Notamacropus eugenii: one gene and its partner. The protein of the gene in region 1 purifies or fractionates together with the protein of each later gene. This does not show direct contact. Links are inferred from orthologs where the notes say so. Each region holds a gene or a part of one and is shown in the gene's direction. Other genes may lie near its edges.

Evidence for each region.
Region 2: the proteins of CXCR4 (region 1) and TMEM63B purify together in Homo sapiens (co-immunoprecipitation; 3 studies listed by BioGRID and IntAct, with this or other methods). This does not show direct contact. The link is inferred for Notamacropus eugenii from reciprocal best matches to the Homo sapiens genes CXCR4 and TMEM63B.

What each region holds. Positions count from the first base shown.
Region 1 is NC_092876.1:297,781,028-297,792,021, forward strand, and holds CXCR4 (C-X-C chemokine receptor type 4), read left to right. Parts: upstream 1-6,197; 5' UTR 6,198-6,366; coding exon 6,367-6,396; intron 6,397-8,578; coding exon 8,579-9,640; 3' UTR 9,641-10,207; downstream 10,208-10,994.
Region 2 is NC_092873.1:107,530,153-107,540,709, forward strand, and holds the start of TMEM63B (CSC1-like protein 2), read left to right. Parts: upstream 1-5,875; 5' UTR 5,876-6,009; intron 6,010-10,557. UniProt on the Homo sapiens protein: Mechanosensitive cation channel with low conductance and high activation threshold. Osmosensitive cation channel preferentially activated by hypotonic stress.

The sequences.
Region 1 (10,994 bases):
TTTAACCATTATCATCATTGTCCTCCCACAGGAAGGTGGCCCAGATTGGCTCCTGGACTGTGATTAGGTAATGTTTTTCCTTATTTTGCTGCAGACCGGTCTCTGTACCACTTCCTGCTGTCTCCTTATCTTGCCATTCAGGGCATATGGTCCCCTACCCCTTCTCCATCACTTCTTAGCACCCCTTTACCTATTCCCAATAGAATATAACCTCCTTGCTGGCAGAGATTCTTGCTTGCTTGTATTTGCCTCTGCAATGCTTAATATAGTACATAGTTCTACTTCCCAACGGATAAGCACATCTAAAAAGATGATTCTGTTTAGACTTTGGGGATACTATATTTTCCTCCGGGATTGGAAAAACTCCTAACTAGAGTTAAGTGTAGTGGAAATAATAATGAATTTAGAGTGAGAGAATATGGTTTTGAACACTGGCTCCCATACTTATGACCTGTGTGACTTTGGGCAAGTCACTGAATTTCTCTGAGTCTCCGTTTCCTCATCCATAAAGTGAGATGGTTGGACTAGACAACTTTCACTTATAGATCTGATTTATTTCAGGACCTGACACCTCTAAGGCTCTAGATTTCTATCCTGCTATGATTCTTTGATCCAATGAGGGAGCTTTCTTTGTACACTTAAGGAACCCTTTGTTACTTTTCCTCTAGTACAATCTTCTACTGGTAACAAGGAAAGAGGAATGCCCTCTTAATCCTACCTTAGTGCTACTATCTATTGCCTGCGTCTTCTCTGTGTGAAAAGTTTCTTTTCCCTTGCTTCAAGGGAATAAGAACCCTTAGTTGAGTTAAGTTCTCTGCCACAGGTAAAGAGCTGAAACTCCATTCGCTAAGGGAACAAACCCCCCTGAGTCCATTAGTCATCCACAGACACAACTGGGAGGTGGGGGGGAAGGGAGAGGATAACTGGGGAAGTGGGGGAGGGGGGCTGGCAAGGATGAGAACATAGCCCAGCAGCAGGTAGGCCAATAATCCTCTTTGGGGTTCCAAACGCTGACCTGACAAGTAGTATGAGACTAACTAGAAGCATCCCCTACAGGAGCCTACATTTAGAAGACTAATCTCTCTCCAGCTCTGGACAGGCAAACTATGCAGCGAATGCCCCGGAGCATCACAGGAGGCAAATGTCGTTGACACTCCACCACTGCCCTGACATATGGTCCCTTCCCTTTTTCTTTTCCCTTTCTTCCATTCCAAGCAGCCAGTACCTAGGGCCTGCCAGTGACCCCCAGGGGCATCCCCTCTCTCCGAGTTGTCCGCCAGCCCTCCCATAGAGCCTGGAGCCTGAAGGGGCAGGGAGGGGGAGGGGACAGCATCGCAGCAGATTGCAGGCGGCTGAAAGCATCCTTCTTTGTTCCTCGGGATAATGTTGAACTGTGGCTAGTGAGCCAGAGCAGATTTCAGAACATATTTGTTTGTCCTCTTGCTGCAGCGGGTTTCTGAACCTAACGCAATGTGTTTCTGGTCTCTTCAGAAAGCTGCTGTGTATCCACCAGAGAGTACTTGTGATACAGTTTACCAAGGTCAGTGCTAATAAATTACATGCTTAAGGAAAACAATGACAAGCGTTTTCCATGGAGAACAGGATTTTTGCACTTGATTATTTCCTTGAAGTCATGCCCTTCTCCAAGCAACATACTCTGATTTTAGACAACACCAGTAGCAACTCTGTGTATTTCACATGGTAGAGCCGGGAACACCTGTCACATTAGCAGAGCAAACTTCAGGGCAATTCATCCTCCTAGCAATGGAATTAGTCAAGTAATGATGATTATATTGTTAATTAAGTGGCTGCTTTGTTACTGTGGCTCAACAGGGAACACTAAATTAACTATAGTTGTTTACTAATCCAGTCTTCCTCTCCCTTCCCCCTTCTCTATACATGCCCATTGTTGGAACTTTTGGAACAGTTTCCTTGATTTCTGTTACAGATTTTACTTTCAAAAAACAACCAGAATTTTATAGGACTTTAAAATGATAGCTTAAGAAGGTAGGTGTTATTATTATACCCATTTTTTTTGCCAGAGAAGGAACCAGGATGAGAGAGACTATGCAACTTTTCCTAGAGTCAAAACATCTAGTTGTGTCTGTGACAAGACTTGAACTCAGATCTCCCTGGTTCCACTTCGGATGGACTGATCCACTTCTGATCCACTGTGCCACCTGGCTGCTTCATTAGCATATCTATATTACATAGAAAAATTCTTTAACATAACATTGCAAGAGAAGTAATTTGCTATTGTCATTCTTATTTCATAGGGAAACTAAGGTTGCAATTTGTCCAGGATCCTATAACTAGTGAATGTCAAAGCTTGGACAACAAACTAGAACATGCTAGAAACACAACATGATCCAGAGATTTAGGGGTCCTCATAAGATCTGCATCTTTGGGGTTTTTTTCATAAGCTAGTACATGACTGGCTAAAGAGAGGGCATAGGTCTATTTTCCAAAGTCATTTTGTTGGGGGAAGGGGGTTGACATTTCACCCCCATCACACCCATTTGGAAATGGTTGTCATTCGATAGCATTGTCTCTTTAAGATTTGTAGCCCTCTCCTAGAATTACATGCTTCTACGGAAATAGCCTCTCTTTTTTATCACTTGGAAAAACATTAACTTTGTCCCTTTGAGTACCCACCATTCCCATCAAAGAAGTTTTGACTTTTCTTCTTTGAGGGACAAAAACAGCCATTTTTCTTTTAAAGAACAGGAGAGGGCGGTGAGAATGCTGTGCCCTTGATCCCTTTCACTTCAGACATTTCACTCCACCAGGGAGCCTGTCCTGAAACTTTCACCAAGTCTGACTTCCAAGCCAACAATGCCAGGGTGAGAGAAGGTGGGGGGGAATGTTGGAGAGAAGTACAGCTTTCTGTCATCCTCACACATATACACACAAATCAACCAGCTGCAGCAGGAGCAACAGGAGGTGGCAGGATGCTTGCCACGGTGTCTCTGAATTTTTAAGCATCCTCTCCATGCTGCGACCAAAACCCAGTCATTCTCTGGGTTAGAGACAGCTTGAGAATTTAGAAACCCGGCCAAAGCAGCATTAACTCTAGATCTGTTACAAGAACCACACAGGATATTCATTCATTCTACCAACAAATATTTATTGAATGCTTGCCATTTGCTCAGCAATGAATTAGATTTGGGTAGGGGATGTCTGGACCCTCCCTTGAAAAAATTTACAATCTTTGAAAAGATAAGATACACATAGAGAAAAAGTTAAATAATAATATAAAAGCTCTTGAAAGGCAGCATATTATCAAAAGCCAAATGAGTAGGAGTTAGCTCTTCAGAAATTCCAGAGATTATTTCTTAAGATTTCTTTCAATTCTAAAGCTTATGATGCTTTGGGTGGAAAGAATGTCAGACTGATCAATGATACATAGATAGATAGACAGACAGACAGATAGACAGATAAAAGCATTTATTAAGTATTTGCTATGTTTTGGGCACTAAATAATATTATGAACTTGAATAGTCAGGTAGGGCTTCTTGCAGAAGCCATGACCTGAGTTAGAACTTGAGTATGGACAAAAGGGGAAATTGCTGGGTGAGTAGGGAAGAAAGAGGTGACCAGCTAAAGTATCTATGTACTCTATTCTGTACTGACACTTCTGGTTGAGAGTAAAACCTAACCCGATACCAGAGCTGCCTAAAAGGACCTCATGACTCAAAGGCAAAGCTAAAAGAGACCTTTAGAAATCACCTCATCTAGCCCTCATATTTTATAAAGGACCTTGAAACCCATAAAGATGAAGTGACTCATCCTATGTTGAATAGGTAGTTAATGGGGAAAGTCCAACTTTCGCCACTTATTAACTGCCTCCAAAGAGACAAATCTGCTGTTTCCAAGTCCAGTGCTTTTTCTTCCCCTCCTTCCCGCCATGTTTTCTTGTTTTATTTACTTAAAGGAGACCTACTTTATGTTCGAAATCAGTCAACAAATATTCATTGTTTTAAACCATCCCCCTTCCTTTATTTTGCCCATCTGAGTGGGAGGACCTCGCTTCTTTGAGTTTCAGCTTCTACTGAAGTTCTGAGGTCAAATGAGCCTTCAATGACCCTGGAGGAAAAAAATACAGTAACAATGTAGGAAGAAAACAAGAAAGAGACTGTAAGAAATATGCCTAATGCTGGTAGGGTATGGTCTAGCACAGAAGGAAGGCAGAGCTGGGACTTAAAAGAACTTCCCCTCCCAACTCTGCCACTACAAAGCCATGTACCCTTAAGTCATTTCCCTCATTTGGAAAATGAGTATACTGCCTGCCCTATCTGCTTTCATGGGACTGCAGTAAGGATCGAATGAGACAAAAGATGTGAAGACTCCTTAGAAAGGTTTTAGGTGATTACAGGAAAGAAGTGTGGTGCGGTGTTGTTTCACTTTATTTTAGGTCTGGAACTGTGATTTTATCCGAGTAGGGAACTCCACGTGACCATACGTGCAACAAGTAACAATATTTCTGAAGAGATGCACAGGAGACACTTAAGAGGTTAAGCTACTTGACAAACTCACACAGTTTGTATCCAGACAGGAACTGAACCCATGGTCTGTGTGGTGCCTAAGGTAGCCCCTCCATGTATTGCCCAGCACTGCCCCTTGTAACATTATCAAACGGTACCTCCCTAAAATGTCAGCCTCTGAGACATTTTGCTAAATTCCAGCTTTCCAGTTATATTTTCAGGGTGATGGACAAAAGAGCGCTAAATGGGAAGGAGATTGGGGGGACAAAGACCTTCGACAGCAGACGGTAGGAAATCAGATGTGACCAGTGGATTTTAGGCAAAACAAATCCTCTGAAGAAACTGAGCCTCAAACTTTTATTTTCACAAAAACATTTCTTACGGGTACCCCAGAGGCTCTGAGGTTGGGGTGAAGTATCTGGCTTGGTTTCTATATTCCTACAGAGACGACGGTAGGATGCGTCAAGAAAAATGCCCAACCTGCTGCAGCTTGGCACGTCCTCTCTTGGTCCCGCCTTCCCACTCTCCTCAGATTGCACAGCTCCCCCTGCCTTATACAGACATAACGCCCATCCTGGTGATAGAAGGCTGAGAGGCAGCCGAAGAAAGAAAAAGGGGGCAGATGAGGTGGCTTTCCGTTGTGATATCTGCACCTCTTTAGCCTAGCATCCAAATAGTGCACAGAGGCTCCATCTCCCCAGCCTCGGCTGTCCTGGCTCCTTTCTCAAGCTAACACAAGATTTGTTTCCTTGTTCATCGCCCTCACAAAAACCATACCCCACTCTTCCACTTTTGTCCCTGTATCCTCCACTGACTTGAGAAACATCTTAATAAATGCTTGTGGATTGGACTGACTGATTGAAACATTTTTTTTCCTCTGTAAGAGAGAGAAGCACTAAATTTGGTTGAAACCCCATCTACTCCAGGAAGGCTTTTGAGAGCAGTTTCTCCAGATTCTTCTTCATATAGTACCATTCTATTCTGCATTTAAGTAAGATTATTGGCCAGGGCATATAGCTATGCGGCGATTAATTTCTTTTTTCTTGAATTACTTCACCTGCAACTTGCCTGACGCGTTGAAGGTAATAGTAATGGGTTTTGTAGTCTGCCTCTGCGTTCTCATCCCCACCCCTTTAGCATTTAAATTTTTCAATACGTGATTTCTGATTGATTCTTATCCTCCGCTCCTGGCCCCACTTTCCCTTGTTACTCATTAAGTGAAAAAGTCCCAAATAGATGTTCCCTTATTGAATCCCTCTGTAAAAAATAAAATAAAATAAAAATAGGGTGCTGATCTGCAGCAGTGAAAACTGCCCTGAACTGAGACTGGAAACTCCAGGCTCTGCTAGAGAAACCAGCTCTGTGACCCTAGGCAAGTCTCTCCTGGTCCTCAGATGGGGCAGGACAAGACGGTCCCTTCCAGCTCTCACATCCCACATTAAAAAGGGATTCTAAGAGAATCTTTTTTCATAGAGGAGGACCAAAATAGGGGCCAGTTCTAACGTGCCTCCATCTCAGTTCCTTCCCCACCTTCCCCGCCAAAAAAACAACACTACGTGACGAAGTTCATTGCGTGCATTGTACAGGGGCTTCCCTAACAGACTCCGCCAGACTAACCGCGGTGCCCTTCTCCCGCCCCTTGTCTCCCCACCTCCCCTCTCCTCCCTCCCCCCCACACACCCCGCCCCGTGTATTCAAAGGACTCAAAGCAAAGCAGTTCCCCATCATCACTCCAGCGGGTGGGACGCATGCGCTGTTCCGCCACCGAGCGTGATTTATAAAAGTCCGGCTCTCCGAGAAACTTCGGAGTTTGTTGGTTGTGGCTGAGGGTTGCGAAGTGATTGGAAAGTAGTGTGTCTGGGCGGAGGCTGCTGCTGCAAGCATGAGTTCGAACAGCGGAGATGATCTGGATGTAAGTTCAGCTCTGCTCTCCTTATTTCTCTGGCTGCAAATGCATTTCTCTTGGCAGAGACCGCAGCTGCCCGATTGCCTAACTTTTAGAGGATGCCCGTTTGCAGGGCTCACAGCACTCAAAGGGGCAACTGGCAGAAATTATTCCTAGGGGTGGCAGAATGAAATAGAAGTAGGGTTTGCAGCTCCTCCTCTTTTTTCCTTGAGACTTGACTTGGGCTACAGAGATGAGCGTGAGTGACTGGGTAGGACCGTGCACTGGCTTGCTTTCTTTCGCATTGTTTGCAAACAAAAAGGTGCATTCAGTGCAGATGTGGCAAGTGCATGGGAAGGAACTGGCTGCCGGGAGCCCCAAGGAAGAAAAAGCAAGAATTGGGGTAAACGGCTGCACTAGCGGACCGGGGAAAGAGAGGGAAAGTGAACTCCCGGGTGGGTGACATTTGTAAAGGGTGCGCCTGGTTTTCTGTCCAGTAGGTGCGTGTGCACCTCCCTCAGAACCGCTCAGGTTCCCAGATTCAACCTGGAAAAAGAAGGAGCAAAGAAAACATTTTTTATTCCCTCTCCTGCCTCCCAAAGCGATCTATTCCGTGCCCGGGGATGAACTAGGTTCTTTGTGGGGGAGTGCTGGCAGAGGGAATGCAGGGTCGGACTTGGAGTAATTCACAAACTCCCTCTGGAGACTGCAAGTCTCATTAATAAGTCTTAAAAGCCTATGGTATAGGGTAGCCTTGCTCTTTCTTTGGAATTGGGATTTGCAGACGCCGTGCCGTTGTGGTAGGTCAGGAGCTCCGGGATCTTCGCTTTGGCGTCGGGCGTCTCCAAGCAGTGTGCGGCTGTTGGCTTGAGTCACCTCCAGGAGCTAGACCCGGAGGTGCGCTAGGTTGGGGAGGTCCTTACCCTGGAGGGCGCGACATCGTCTTCGGCTGAATTGCATCCAGGGGGAAGGGGATGGAGGGTGGGTGCAAGCGTACTAATCGGTTTGGTTCAAAATGCTGCTGTTTAACTGTCGGCGGTTTCCTCTTGCTTTTTGAACCCCCCACCTCATAGTTTTCGCTTCCTCCCACAGTGGCGCGCGATTCAAAGGCAACCAGGGTGGAGCCGCCAGGCTCTCTAAAATGCGCAGCGGCATGCACGGTGCGAGTCATCTAGGGAGGGTGGTACGGGCTTATGGAGAGTGCTTTCAGGGCTCTGGCTAACCTAGTTGCCTGGGGAGAAGAGTAAAGTTGGGGGAATCGGGGGAAGGGAAGGAGAGTGCCTTGAGGATGGTGGACAGTTTATATTCACACTGGACAGCAGGCTGATCGCTTCCCAGTGCGCGAGTTCCAGCTGCTGCCCTCTAGATCCCATTAGCCAGGCTAGTGTGGGGTGGGAGGGAGGGAAGTGGGGAGGGGGGAACATTACTACTAGACAGTGGGTTGATGTTGGAACAAGATAGAGGGAGGAAATGAAACTTGGGGCGAGGAGGTAGAGTCCAGAACGCGTGACCCAAACAACAGCGCCTTCTCCACCCAGGGAAGCGGAGATCCGCTCAGCAAACTAGAATAACCTTGAAGGAATAAACACTTGGGGGGGCGGAAGGTGTACGTATTAACGAGCACGGTTTTCCATGCCTGCCGGACACTCCTCAAGCATACTGTTTTGACAGATATCCCTATACTGGCCATATGTGATTGCAAGGACACTATAGCTTGTGCTTTAAAAAAAAAAGTTTCCTCAATGGAGAACAGAGTTTTGTTTTGGGGTTTTTTGATGCGCTTAAGCTGTCCTTTCTCTTATCTCCTGTTTTTCGTGCTATTATGCTTTTGACCTAGCCACGATGGATCGAATCCCCCTTCCTCCAACCCCAACCTGTCCCGACTCGGAAGAATGTTTCTTTAAGTTTCTTTTGTTGAGCTTGGCTGAGAGGTTCCATGAGAATTCTGAGGTTAACAGAAAAATCCAAGCTATTAGATTACTGTAGGAGTTGTAGATGAGGAAAGGAATGGGGTTTTAAAAGAAATGGTGCCATTGTAAGGGCACCCTTCCCTAGGAAAATTGTTTCCCCTTGGAAGAATTTTTTAGGGGAAATGGGAGAATTTGGATTGCTTTTGTTTAAGAAAAACTTTGGAGTCATATAACTTGATAGATAAGTACTGGTTTTGTCATTTCCTGTCATTTACTTTTCTTATTCTCTTTTCTTGCAGTCCTATACAGGCTTCATCATCGAGCTTCATGATAACAACAGTTCAGATGGTTTTGGCTCAGGTGATTACGATGGCAAAGAGCCATGTTTCCGGCATGAAAACGAGGATTTCAACCGCATCTTTCTACCTACAGTATACACCTTCATCTTTCTGACCGGCATTGTGGGCAACGGATTGGTTATCATTGTCATGGGTTACCAGAAGAAATTGAGAAGCATGACCGACAAGTACAGGTTGCACTTGTCAGTAGCTGATCTCCTGTTTGTTCTCACTCTGCCTTTTTGGGCCGTGGATGCTGCTGCAAGCTGGTACTTTGGAAAATTTCTGTGCAAGGCAGTGCATGTCATTTATACAGTCAACCTCTATGGAAGCGTCCTGATTCTGGCTTTTATTAGTTTAGACCGATACCTGGCAATCGTTCATGCAACCAACAGTCAGAGACCAAGAAAGCTGTTGGCAGAAAAGGTGGTGTACTTAGGTGTGTGGCTGCCTGCTCTCCTGCTCACGGTTCCAGACATCATTTTTGCCAACACAGGTGAAGCTAACGGAAGGTACTTCTGTGACCGGGTATATCCTCATGACAACTGGCTGATTTCTTTCCGGTTTCAGCATATCCTAGTTGGACTTGTTTTACCTGGCCTAATTATTCTGACCTGTTACTGCATTATCATTTCCAAGCTGTCCCATTCAAAGGGTCACCAGAAACGAAAAGCCCTGAAGACAACAGTCATACTTATTCTGGCTTTTTTTGCCTGTTGGCTGCCTTACTACATTGGAATCAGTATAGACACGTTTGTTCTCCTGGAAGTGATCAAGCAGGACTGTGATTTTGATACCGCCGTACACAAATGGATCTCCATCACAGAGGCATTGGCCTTTTTTCATTGTTGCCTGAATCCCATTCTGTATGCCTTTCTTGGTGCCAAATTTAAAACCTCTGCACAAAATGCACTGACATCAGTTAGCAGAGGCTCCAGCCTTAAGATACTTTCAAAGGGCAAGAGGGGAGGACACTCATCTGTTTCTACTGAGTCAGAATCCTCAAGTTTCCACTCCAGCTAACATCATCTTTCAACATCTAAAGAATTTTTTTTATAATAAAAACTTTTTTTTAAAGTTACTCTTTTTTTTGAGATACAAAAGACTGACCATAATGTACAGCTTATTATTTACTGTCAGAATTTATTGTTTGTTTGTTTTTTACTTTAGGGGTGTTTTTGTTATGTTTAATTGGTTTATTTATATAAATTTGTTCACGTTGCGTGTTGATGAATGTCTAGGCAGGACCTGTGGCCAATGCTTGGTTTGCTACTTTTAATATTTGTCTGTATAGCTGTAGAAAATGTGAACTTAAACACTTTTAGAGTGTGTGGTGAATGACTTAAAGCTAGAAAAACTCTGCTCAACTGTTTGTACATAAATTATCTTTCCATTCCAGTTTCAACTGTTTTTTCCCTATTCTTCTGAAAATTGTATGGTTTACACTAGTGTAATTCTGATGTAGACATTGGCACTTATAACCAAAACCCTTGAGTCAAGTGTTAGATGGTTTTTTCAGTATTGGCTTAGTTTAAAAACCTGCAGCATACAGTCTGTGTTAAGCTGTTAATAAAAGGAAAAGGAAAACTATTTGGTGTTCCATTTGTATCTCTGTGGTTGACTTTGTTTAGACTTTCTGGTGCTGGTTAAAAGCTTTTCAGGCTGGAGCCAACGTGCATGAAAGATAATCCTCCTGATCCTTCTAGGCCATAGTCTGGGGTGGGGGTGAGGGGGGTAATGAGACAGTATGAGATTGAGTACCACAAATACTTCAAATTTCCTTAGGTTTGGACTATTGAAAAGCTGTAATCATTATCAGTGGGTTTAGGCATCCAGTCAATTTGATTTTCTTTTAAAGGGCATCTAAGCTTAGAATCATAACATACAATTTAAGGTGGCTAAAGGCCTTTCCTTTTGATTTCTTCTATCTAATATGATTTTGTCCTTAGAAAGAATAATTTCCCTCCCAGGGAGAATCAGTGAAAAAGCTTGACATTTGACAGTGATGATGTCAGAGCTTAAGGGTAAACTAAAACAGCCCATATTTTCCAATTTTTGCACAAGATGAGTTGTGTAATGTAAGTGTCTTAATTACATTAGATTGTGTAAGCCTCCAGGATCTTGAGCAAATTTCAGCTGCAGTTTCCATTTTTTAAAGATTTACATGATTTCCAAGTGGCAACAAACACTTCATCACTTTCCTTTACAGCTGGAGCAGGTTGCTGTAGACAATTTCCTCCAAATTCAGAACTATGAAATAATTAAGACAGTATTTGGACATCAGCAGTCATTAATGACACTATTTTGGAGGGAAAATTCTAATGTCTCCTTTGTGAAACAAATCACATTTGTTCGAGGCAAATGATAGCTCTTTTGC
Region 2 (10,557 bases), on another chromosome or scaffold:
GTAAGTAGCTCCCTTGGTTTCAACTATCACCTTTACCTAGATGATTCTGAAATCTCTATTTCCAGACCTGACCTGAGTTCCAAGGCCTCCATCTGAACTGTCCCATCAGCACCTCAAACTCAAGTCCTACAGTGAAAAAAGCACCAAGTTTGCATTCAGAAGACCTGGGCTTGAACCTCACTGTGACCCTGGATGAGTTACTAATTGCCTCTCTGGGCTCATTCTCTTCATCTAGAAAATGAGGAAGCTGAATTTAAGATATCTCTGAGGTTCTCTCAAGCTCTCTTTTCTAGTAAGGTATTGTGATACGCTGAAAAGAGCCAGTGTGGAGTCAGAATACCCAGATTGGAATTCCAGCTCTACCTTACTAGTGTGACCTCAGGTAGTCATCTCCTTTCTCTGAACTTCAGTTTCCTTTCCAGTTCTAAGTGTATGATCCAGTAATCCTACTTCTATCAATGTGACCACCATCAAAAGAGACTATAATGAGCCTTGTTCAAAACCTTATTTTGGACTCCCGTCCCCTTAATCTACTATATCCAGTAAGTTACAAAAAACCTATTCAAATCCATAACATAACAATCCTCTCTATCCCAACTGCTCCAACTGCACATAGGCTCATTACCACCTAGCTAATTACTATAATAACATTATGATAAGTTCCCACCTCTAGTCCATCCTTTGAATGAATGCCAAACTTATTTTCTTGGTATATAAATTGGTCATGCCACTCATCTATTCAAAACATTTCAGTCCCTCTTTACTGTCTATTTCTGTTTTGCCTGGAACCTAGAACTACAAAATCTGAAACCATCCTATTTTCCCAGCTTTCCATCTCATGTTACCCCCACACCTTTTATGCTCCTGCCAAGCAGGACCCACTCGCCATTTCCCACTGGCCGAGCTCCCAGCTCTGTATCTTTACTGATACTTCCATACTCCTGGAATGCAGTCTCTGCCCACAGAATTCCTATCCATCTTTTAAAATCTAACTCAAATACCACCTCTTTCGCTAAGCTTTTCCTGCCTCTCCCCACTCCACAGCTACTTAAGAACTTCCACTCCACCCTGACCTCACAAAAAGGGACAAAACAAAATGCTAACACTATTATTATTGATGTAGCATTAACTGGGCAGCCTCCAATCTCCTCCAGATCCTAACACAGTGCTCTGCTCTTAGAAAGCACTTGGTGAGTTTTTGGAAGTGAAAAATTAACTGGAACAACACTCTCTATGGCCTAATTTTAAAATAAAATATCTTCCTCCCCAAGTCCTCAAATGGGTCAAAAATATTTTTGACAATAGACAAATGAGTCTGGATAACTGGGTATAACACTACCCAAAGACAGAGAAAGAACTCTACTAACTGATCTCTGAAGGATTCTTCCAACCTTAAAAATTCTAAGCTCTGAAAGGGATTGTGATATGTTCTGAAACAAAAATTAGTAGGTATAGTTTGATGAAGGACTCTGCTTCTTTTGTAAAGCCTTATTAAAAGTACCCCTTCTTCTCCTGAAAGCAGGACTGTCTTGGGGAATCTGTAACATGGTCACTGTAGACAAGACAGCACCCTTAGATGTAAGGGTGTCCAGCAGAATGCCAGACTTCAGCAGTAACAAGAGGTTCAGTGTCTATCCAAAGTAAAGGAAACTCTAAATATCAAATATACTCTCAGATACCTCTTATGTTGGTTTCTGGTTCTTTGAGAAGCCCCAACTCCAGGCACTTTTCTCTCTTAATGTGTTCTCTCTTTGGTTTCCCTCCAGTTGTACTGAGATACTCCCCTACTTGAAAACATTATGATGTGGATCATAATAATATTCAAAGGGCAGTTTGAAGTCTGCAAAGTGCTTTCTTTACAACATAGGAGCCTGTTAGTTACATTTTACAGTTGAAGAAACCAAGGCTCAAAGATGTTAAGTGACTTATCCATAGTCACATTCTGGGGTCAGAACCAGGATTCTAACTCAGGTCTTCTAAATCCAATGCCCTTCCCACTGTACCATACTGCCTCTCATGTACTCCCTCCAGGTTAAAGTCTGGGAAGCAAAGTGTGGTGGGAGGAGAACTGAATTTAGAAGAAGATCTAGGTTTGAGTCCTAGGTGTGCTGCTGACTAGATGTAACAAGTCAAGTCACCTCTGAGCCTCAGTTTCATGATCTGTAAAATGGAGATAGTAATATTGGTATTAACAACACATCATAAATTCAAAGTGTTATACACACAAATTATGTTACCCAGCAAAGAAAAGCAGCATAGATACAAAATGTTTATAATCTAGGAATCAAAACACATTTCAGATCCACAACAGTGCCTGGCACACAGGAAGCAATTACTAAATGTTGAACAACTGATTCACAACTAATATTAGCTAGGTTTTCTTTAAAGAGCTCAGGGTAAGCTGAAGCCTTTAGGCATTTTGCTAGACTGGCACTGAGTTACACAAGTTTTTACAATCATAAAATGCTTAGAACACTACAAGATTTTGTACTCAGAAAACTCCATCAAAAAATGGCAGTACAGGTATAGAGAGGAATTCCTCACAGAAAAATTTCCCAGATCTCTTAGAATCTAAACAATTCCCTTCCATCCACAACAACTACAAGAATGCAGAACTAATGAACTTAGGCACCAAATTTCAACAGGCATACTTTGGGTAGATAGTGACTTGTCTTTTTCTCAATCATACCTCTTCCAGCAGGAAGCTTTCCCTAATCAGTCAACTTTCTAACCCCCTAAAATAACCTCACACCTACTCTACTCCTCAATAGACTTATATACATTTATTTCTGCTGAAAAGGGTTACCTTTTCTATCATTTACAAGCTACCAGGGATAAAGCTGAGGTCTTTTTCTCCTATCCCTAATATACCTTGTTACATATCCCATGGTCAGGTAATGATCAATGCACCATTTATATAGCATACTCTAGGGTTAACAAAAGCTTTCCTCATCACAACCTGGAAGATATGCAATCCAAGTATTACTACCCCAATTTTCAGGAAATAGGCTTAGAGTTAAATGATTTGGTCATACACAGATATGAAAGTATTAAAGCCAGGATTCAATCCTTATTTCCTGACTCCAAGTTCTGGGATCTTTCCACTACTCCTCACTGTGTGTGTGTATATATATATATATATATATATATGTATATACAACACATACACACATATATGTACACACACACACACACACACACACACACACACACACACTTTTCAGAGCCTGAGGGCATGGAGACACAACCCTCAGGACCCAGTGCCTCCATAGAAATTAACAAAAGGTGTGCACCTTCCTACAAAACAAGCCTCCCCTAATCAAACTTCCCTTCATGGGCTCTACAGAGGCCTATTAACGGGTGGGGAAGATCTTTAACTTTCATTAACATTACAAGGAGACATCATGTAGGATATCCGGAAATGGAAGAGACCTTAAAAGATCACCTAGTCCTAATCCAACTCCTGCAATTTAAAGATGTGCAAACTGAAGCCCAAAGAAGGGACATGACTTACTTCAAGTCATACAATAGCAAGCACAAGCACTGGGATTCCATCACACCACAGTCTCCCTTTGGGGTTTCTCTTAGGTCCTGCGCTATTAGCAATTATCAATGACTTAGATAAAGACAAAAATTATTATCAATCTGCAGATGACTTAATGCCAGGGTCAGCAAATATGTCTAATTCTGATTGAATCAGAATAAAAAAATGTCCTTAAAAGGTTAGAACCCTAGGCTAAATTTAACAAGATAAAATTTAAAGGAGAAAAATGTATATCTTACCCTTAGGTTCGAAAGATCACCATGACAAGTCAAACAGTGGTACAACTCAGCATTGTCTGAAGTAACACCGACTGCTTGGAGGAGAGAATAGTACTTATTCTCTGATGCCATTTGACCAGGTTAGGGCTATACTTCTAATATCTCTAAGCCCTGTTTGTAACAATAACTTAGATTCACAAAGCATGCCTTAGGTGACAAAGTACTTTACTGTCTCACTCGTCAGCAGGAAGAACATATATTATTCTCCTCAAAGAAAAAAAAAACAGGCTCAGAATGGTCAGGGCATGAAAGTATTAAGTTGCAAAGGTGGGACCAATCCAGCTCTAGGGCTCTTTCCATAACTGCCCAATATGTTCTAATAAACATTTGTTGAATAAATGTTGACCCCTTATGGAACTTTCAATCTGAAATTTATTATAGTAATGATAATTAGCATTTATGTGGAGCTTTTAAGGTTTCCAAAGTCCTAAACACCTGAAGCTATTAACATTTTCAAACGACACAAACCAATTACCAATTGCTGTGGAAAGTAGTACTTTCACTAGTCCTAAAATTACTTCCGCCAAACTTCAAAGAGGATGAGATAGGGACAGGAAAGTTCTATGGTTTTCTGGATTTGATGAACAAACTGGAGCTTCCCATTTTTTTTCAAAGTACCGTCTCAACCATTTTAGTTCCTGGCAGATAGATTCTGTATCTTTAGTGAAATAAAAACATAGAGAAATAACTGCAGTCCAAGGAATTAATTTGTCCATCAAGGGGAATGACTCCCTATTCCATAAGCATACCGGGCAAGGACATAAATAAACAAGACACATCTCAAAATCAAGAGTTGGGGAGGGAGAGAGGACGAAGAGGAGGGGAAAAAAACCACACTGGCTGAAAAGAGGGAGAGCAGCCTCAGAGCTGTGACAGGCTGATGCCACAAGAGCAGAAGGAAAGGGAGACCAGAATCCACTGCCATTCTCAATGCCTTAACTACAGCACAAGCACCCACGGAGCAACGCGGCTACTCATTGCTAGGGAACGCAGGTAAGTCCTCATCTCCACACAAGGGTGATAGGGGCCACAGGTCTGGTGCAAGAAGGGAGAACTATGGGCAAAGGTTGGCTTGATGTGCCCAGTTCAGCCAATTCCCCACCACCATCACAATTTTCCTGGGAGGGTGGGGAGAAGAAAAACCGTAAAGATATATTAAAGAGATGTAGGTATGGGAGTGCAGAGGGACATGACACTTATCCTACACTCTTTCCTATATGGGACCTGCCATTTACTTCAACCAGGAGCTCTCTCTCATTTGTCACCTACTTTTCCCTCCAGAAGCCCTTCCCTACATCTTTCCCCTAAATCAGAAGCCTTCCCCTTTCATTGCCTACCCTTCTTTTACTCCTACTAGGACTCCCTCCCCCACCACGCCCTGCTCCTCCCCTCACCAGGACCCCCTCCCCCACCACGCCCTGCTCCTCCCCTCACCAGGACCCCCTCCCCCACCACGCCCTGCTCCTCCCCTCACCAGGACCCCCTCCCCCACCATGCCCGGATCCTTCTCCCCTCCCCAGGACCCCTCGTGCCGCTGGCCCTGTTCCCCCTAATCAGGACCTCGGCATTTAAACCACGCTGTGTTCCCTTCCTCGTTGCCTCTATTAGGTGGAGGAAAGCAACAAGAAAGAAAAACTTTTTTTTTAACTGTCCCCGCCATTACCGCTCTCACCGCCGAGTTAGGGAAAACCTCGAGACCCGGAGGTTAAACGCGCACTTTGCCCCGCCCCCACTAGCTCCAGCACCGCGACTCCACAGCGCCCCCTGCCCCGCCCCACCGCCTTTGAAGAGCGCTTGCGCACCAAGGTCTCCCGGGCCCCATTCCACGCCTGCGTACGTACGTACGTGCGTGCTTTCGCCATGTGTGCGTTAGGGGGTGGGCCCCGGGCGGTCGGCGGCGACGCTGCCTCGCCCCCTCCTGCTTTCCCCCTCCCTTCCCCCGCCTTCCTCCCTCTTCCCCCCCTTCACTTAGCTCTCTCCCCGCCCCTCCTCCTCCTCCTGCCCAATCCCTCCTCCTTCCTCCCGCCTCCCTCCTCCCTTCTGCCTCCTCCCCCAGCCGGGAGCCGCGGCCGCCTCCGGAGCCCCGAGCCCGAGCTGCCCAGCGACACCCCCTCCCCCCGCCCCCGCCCACCCCGGCCCCGAGCCCCGACCTGAGCCTCGGAGCGGGAGCCGAGTCTGCGCCCGAGGGTGAGTAGGCGCCCCCTCCCCGCGCCCCCACCCTCCATTCCCGAAAATCTTCCCGAGACCCGCACCCGGGATCCAAATGTGGCCCGCGCTGTGTGCAGCCCCCGCCCTCGGGGCATCCAGCTTTCGGGGGCCCCCACCCTACCTCTTCGCCCACCTGCCCCGTCCAGGTGTGCCCCCTCCCCCACGACGCGCCCTCCCGGGCTCAGTCCCCCGCCCCCTCGCCCGCCCTTTTGCCGGGGATCCAGATGTGGTCTCCCCCTCCCCTTGTTCAGTTCCGTGGCCTGGGGTTGCTTTGGGTCGTTGTTCGGGGGGCGTTGTTGAGGTTGTTTTTGTGCTGTTTGCGGGGTGGAGAGAGGAGGGAACGGTGTCGCATGATCTGATGGACTCCGTGGATTTTACCGCCGCCCCCCCAAACACGCGAGCTGGCGCGCGCACGCACGCACACGAGTGGAATCTTTCCCTGCGCCGGGCCGGGCTGCGGTAGGATTGCTCCGTGCCCCCTGGCCCAGACCCGGGGGACTGAGCCGGAGAGCTGGGGGGCGGCTGTTGAGTGTATCTGTGTCGTGAGTGTCCTTCCACCCAGCACAATGCAGGCTTCTTCCCGGCCCTGGCCAGAGGCTCGGTGGCGAGGGCAATGGGAAGATCTAGGCTGGACCCGGGCTGGTTAGGAGCCTGGGCCTAGGGGAAACAAGGACACGTCCCTAGGCACTGCTTTTCTGCCTGACGGTGGGGATTTAGTAAGGATAGGCTACTGCCCCTTGTCCTGCGTGGAGGCCAACGGGGTGTCAGGCAATGGAGAGAGAGGTCAGTGGGGGGTGGGGGAAGTGGGAGCCTGGCTGTCACTGGTGCTGCACATGCCCGGGTCGTTGTGAGCATAGGCCTGGCATCCACAGGGGATGTCCAGCCACAATTCCGGTTATTCTAGTATCCCAGAAAGAGTATTTGTGAATATGTTTGGGGGGGAGGTGGTACCCTTGCTTCTGCCCACTAAGGAAAGGTTGCTGATGCCAACTCAGAGGGTTACATGAACACTGAGGTACTGGAGTAGGGAGTTTCTACCCGATTGCTGAGGAACACTGCCTTCCCTCTCCTTCCTACTCTGAGTGGAAAGAAAAGGTTGGCCTGGCTGCCCTCCAGGGCACTAGGGTGGCATGAGAGTCCAGGCCCCGGCATGCCCAAAGTATTGCATGCTGGGACCTGTAGTCCAACCTGTATTTCCCTGATAGAGTTTAAGTGATAGATTGGCATCCATCCCCCTATAGAATACCCTTCTAGGTTATAGAAACACAGCATGCCATTCAGTGCTAGAAGAGACTTTTAAGATAATCATTCTAGCCGGAAGCTCTCATTTTCACAGAAGAGAAGATGGATAAAGCAAAGTGACTTGGCCAAGGTCACCCGGCTAATTAGTGGCAGAACCAACACTAGAGCCCTGGTCTTGTGGTTCCCAGTCTAGAGCTCTTTTCATTATACCACACTGGCTTCCTCTCTGGTCCTGCGCAGCCCCACCATCACTCAGATGCAACTGAAGGGCACAAGGGAAATAGTGGACCTGGAAACAGCTCTGGTGGGAAGCCCCAAAGAAATGCTGGCACGGAAAAGACCCTAAGTCGTATTTTCAGAATAAGCTTAATCATCGACACCTTGACTTAAGCAGCCCCAAAATAAACTCTCCTGGTTTTGTGTTTGTTGCAGTTTTTATTTTTGTTTTTTACTGAACAACTTGACAATAACAAGTCCCTGTTGTGCCACAAAGTTTCTCTTAAGAAAGCAAAAGCTAAATTAGAACTAGAAAAAAAAAATTAGAGATCATTTAGTCACACACACACACACACACACACACACAGAGTTTTATAGATGTTGAAATTGAGATCCAGAAAGTGACATGACCCAGGTGGCAGGGTTCATCTTTGGTACAGCCAGGACACCATCCTCAATTTCCTTGGAAGAATAGCTACCTATGGTACCTATTTTCTATGGCTAAAAACTTGAACTGGCCTGCACTTTAAACCCAGGGAGGACTTCCTGGTGGGAGAAATTTACTCTCAAAGCAAATAAATTCTGAGTCATGGATGGCCACACTTGATAGATGTGTGTACCACCTGCATTAACGCTGAAGTTCTACAACGTAGAGAAGTTAGAGGTTGAAAAAAGGTATTTTCCAGAGGGAGAACTGGAGGATCTAGAAAAAACTTTATACCATCACCACCAAGGCAGCTAATTGGTGCAGTGGATAGAGAACTGGGCCTAGAGTCAGGAAGACTTGAGTTCATATTTGGTCATGCTAGCTTTGTGACGCTAGACAAGTCACTTCACCTGTTTGCCTCAGTTTCCTCAACTATAAAATGGGGATGATAACAGATCCTACTTCAGAGGGTTGTTGTGAGGATCAAAATGAGATAATGTTTTTAAAGCACAATGCTTGGCACATAGTAGATGCTATATAAAATGCTTATTCCATCCTCCCTTCAAGTTAACTTTGATAATAAATAATCTTTTTCATTCCTATATTACATTTACTTTTCAGGTCCATTCTCAAAGTTTTATCCTTACTAGGACATTTCTGCCCAAGGCAGAGATGTCTCTGTATTATCAACAGAAAGACTGAGCATTAGAGAGGGTTAGGGATTTGTCCAAGGTCACAGAGTCACCTAGCTAAAACTAGAACGCTGGTCTCCCATCTACCAACCAAGGCATCCTTCTGATGGAATAGACCATCTGACTGTAATTACGAGTCCTAAATTACAATTTCCCATGCAGTTCTACAATAATAAATTTTAAGCTGTAACCCTCTCCCTTCCTATTGTCACCTTACAGTAGCAAAACCCTAAATTGGCTTGACAATAAACCCTTTGCCAACTTAAATTAAGCATCTCAGTCAAACTAGGGGAAAATCTTGACACCACTGGCATCCCAGTACAACGAGGAAAGTTGCTGCCCATCATAAGAATTCCACTCTGATCTCTTGTAGAAGCATTGTGCTATAATGAAAATTATACTGGTTTGGATATCACAAGGCCAAGGTTCCTAGTTCTGCTCTTTACTAGCTGTTTTACTTTGGGCAAGTGATTTAACCATTCTAAACCTAGGTCTTCTCTTCTGTAAAATGCAGATAATAATACCTACAAAACCAACTTGGGACCATAAGGATTTAGGAGCTAGACAGGAAGGAACTTGGAAATCATCTATAGTCATGGGATCATTGTGAATATCAAATGAAATAATATGTATTAAATTCTTTATAAACTATACAGTGCTATATAAATGTGAACTATTCTTCTCCAGTGCTCTTTAAAATCTTAAACTGCATAAAACCTGTTCCTCTGCCCCCTTAGTCACCTTTGACATTTTTCCCTTCCTTCTGCTCATTTGCCCCACTTTCATTGACTCTGCAGTGATGATAGCTAGAATGACACTCGAGCGGAGGTCCTTTTCAGTTTCAGTTCCTTGAACTAACAAAGCAGCTGTCATGACTCTTACTTGCTCACTCTGGTTGAGTGGTTAGCTCATGAAGGTCCCTTGCCTAGGAAGGGAGTAGGCAGTGCCACACAAACTGCCAAGCTCCCTTGAAATGGAAGGGAGACAGGAAATTGGAGCTTGAGGGGGATTTGTCTTTGTGTCTTGACCACAGAGTGTACCGTTGGTGCAGGAGAAGAGGGGTATTGCAAGCACCTCTGGAGTAAAGGGGATTGTTTCAGTATGAAGAGGGACTTTGAACCTACACTGTACCCCTGACTTACAGTTACAGTCTCCTGGGCACTTCTGTTTACACACCAAGGTTCCTAACACGCACATCTCCCCAAGTATACAACACAGCAGAGACAGAGATGCACCTACCTGAGAGGCCACAATTGATATGTGTTGCGTCTTCACACCAGGATTGGCATTACATACCCATACACTCAAAACAGTTGTTCGATAATTCAATAAGCATTTGTTCATTGCTCTTACAGGGCTTTTACCTAGGCACTGGGAAAGAGGAGGTAGTCTCACCTATTTACTCAGATACACCCCCACATGGTCTGTCTTAACTGACTCCCCTTTCTCCTACTTCCCTCCTGAATTTCCCTGTATGGTGTGGTGGAAAGAATCCTGAATTTGGAATTTGAATTTCTATTCTACTTCTTACTACTACCTGTGTGATCCCACACCAAACCCTTCCTTACTCTGCTCCTTGATTTGTTACTCTTTAAAATGAGAGTGATTTCAACTATTTGATTTCTAATGATCCTATGAACTTCAAATACATTACCACTTCCCCTTCCACAACAACCCCCAGTTTGTTGGGTCAAGGAAATTTCTTGCCCTCCACACATAGGCAACCCCCAAGGAAAGACAAGGAGGTTAGAGTGAGGGGGCCAGGAATCCCACTGAGTCATGGCTGCCTTCTCTCTCAGTCATGGCCACGCCCCTGCGTTTGTTGTTTGGCCTCAGTCTAGGCGGTTCCTGTCCCCAGGTCCCCAGCAGTCTCCTCATCTAGTCAGAGAGATCCCTCTTGGGAAGCTATCGAGTTAGTAAGTGTGGGGAGGGAGGAGGGACAGCAAAGAA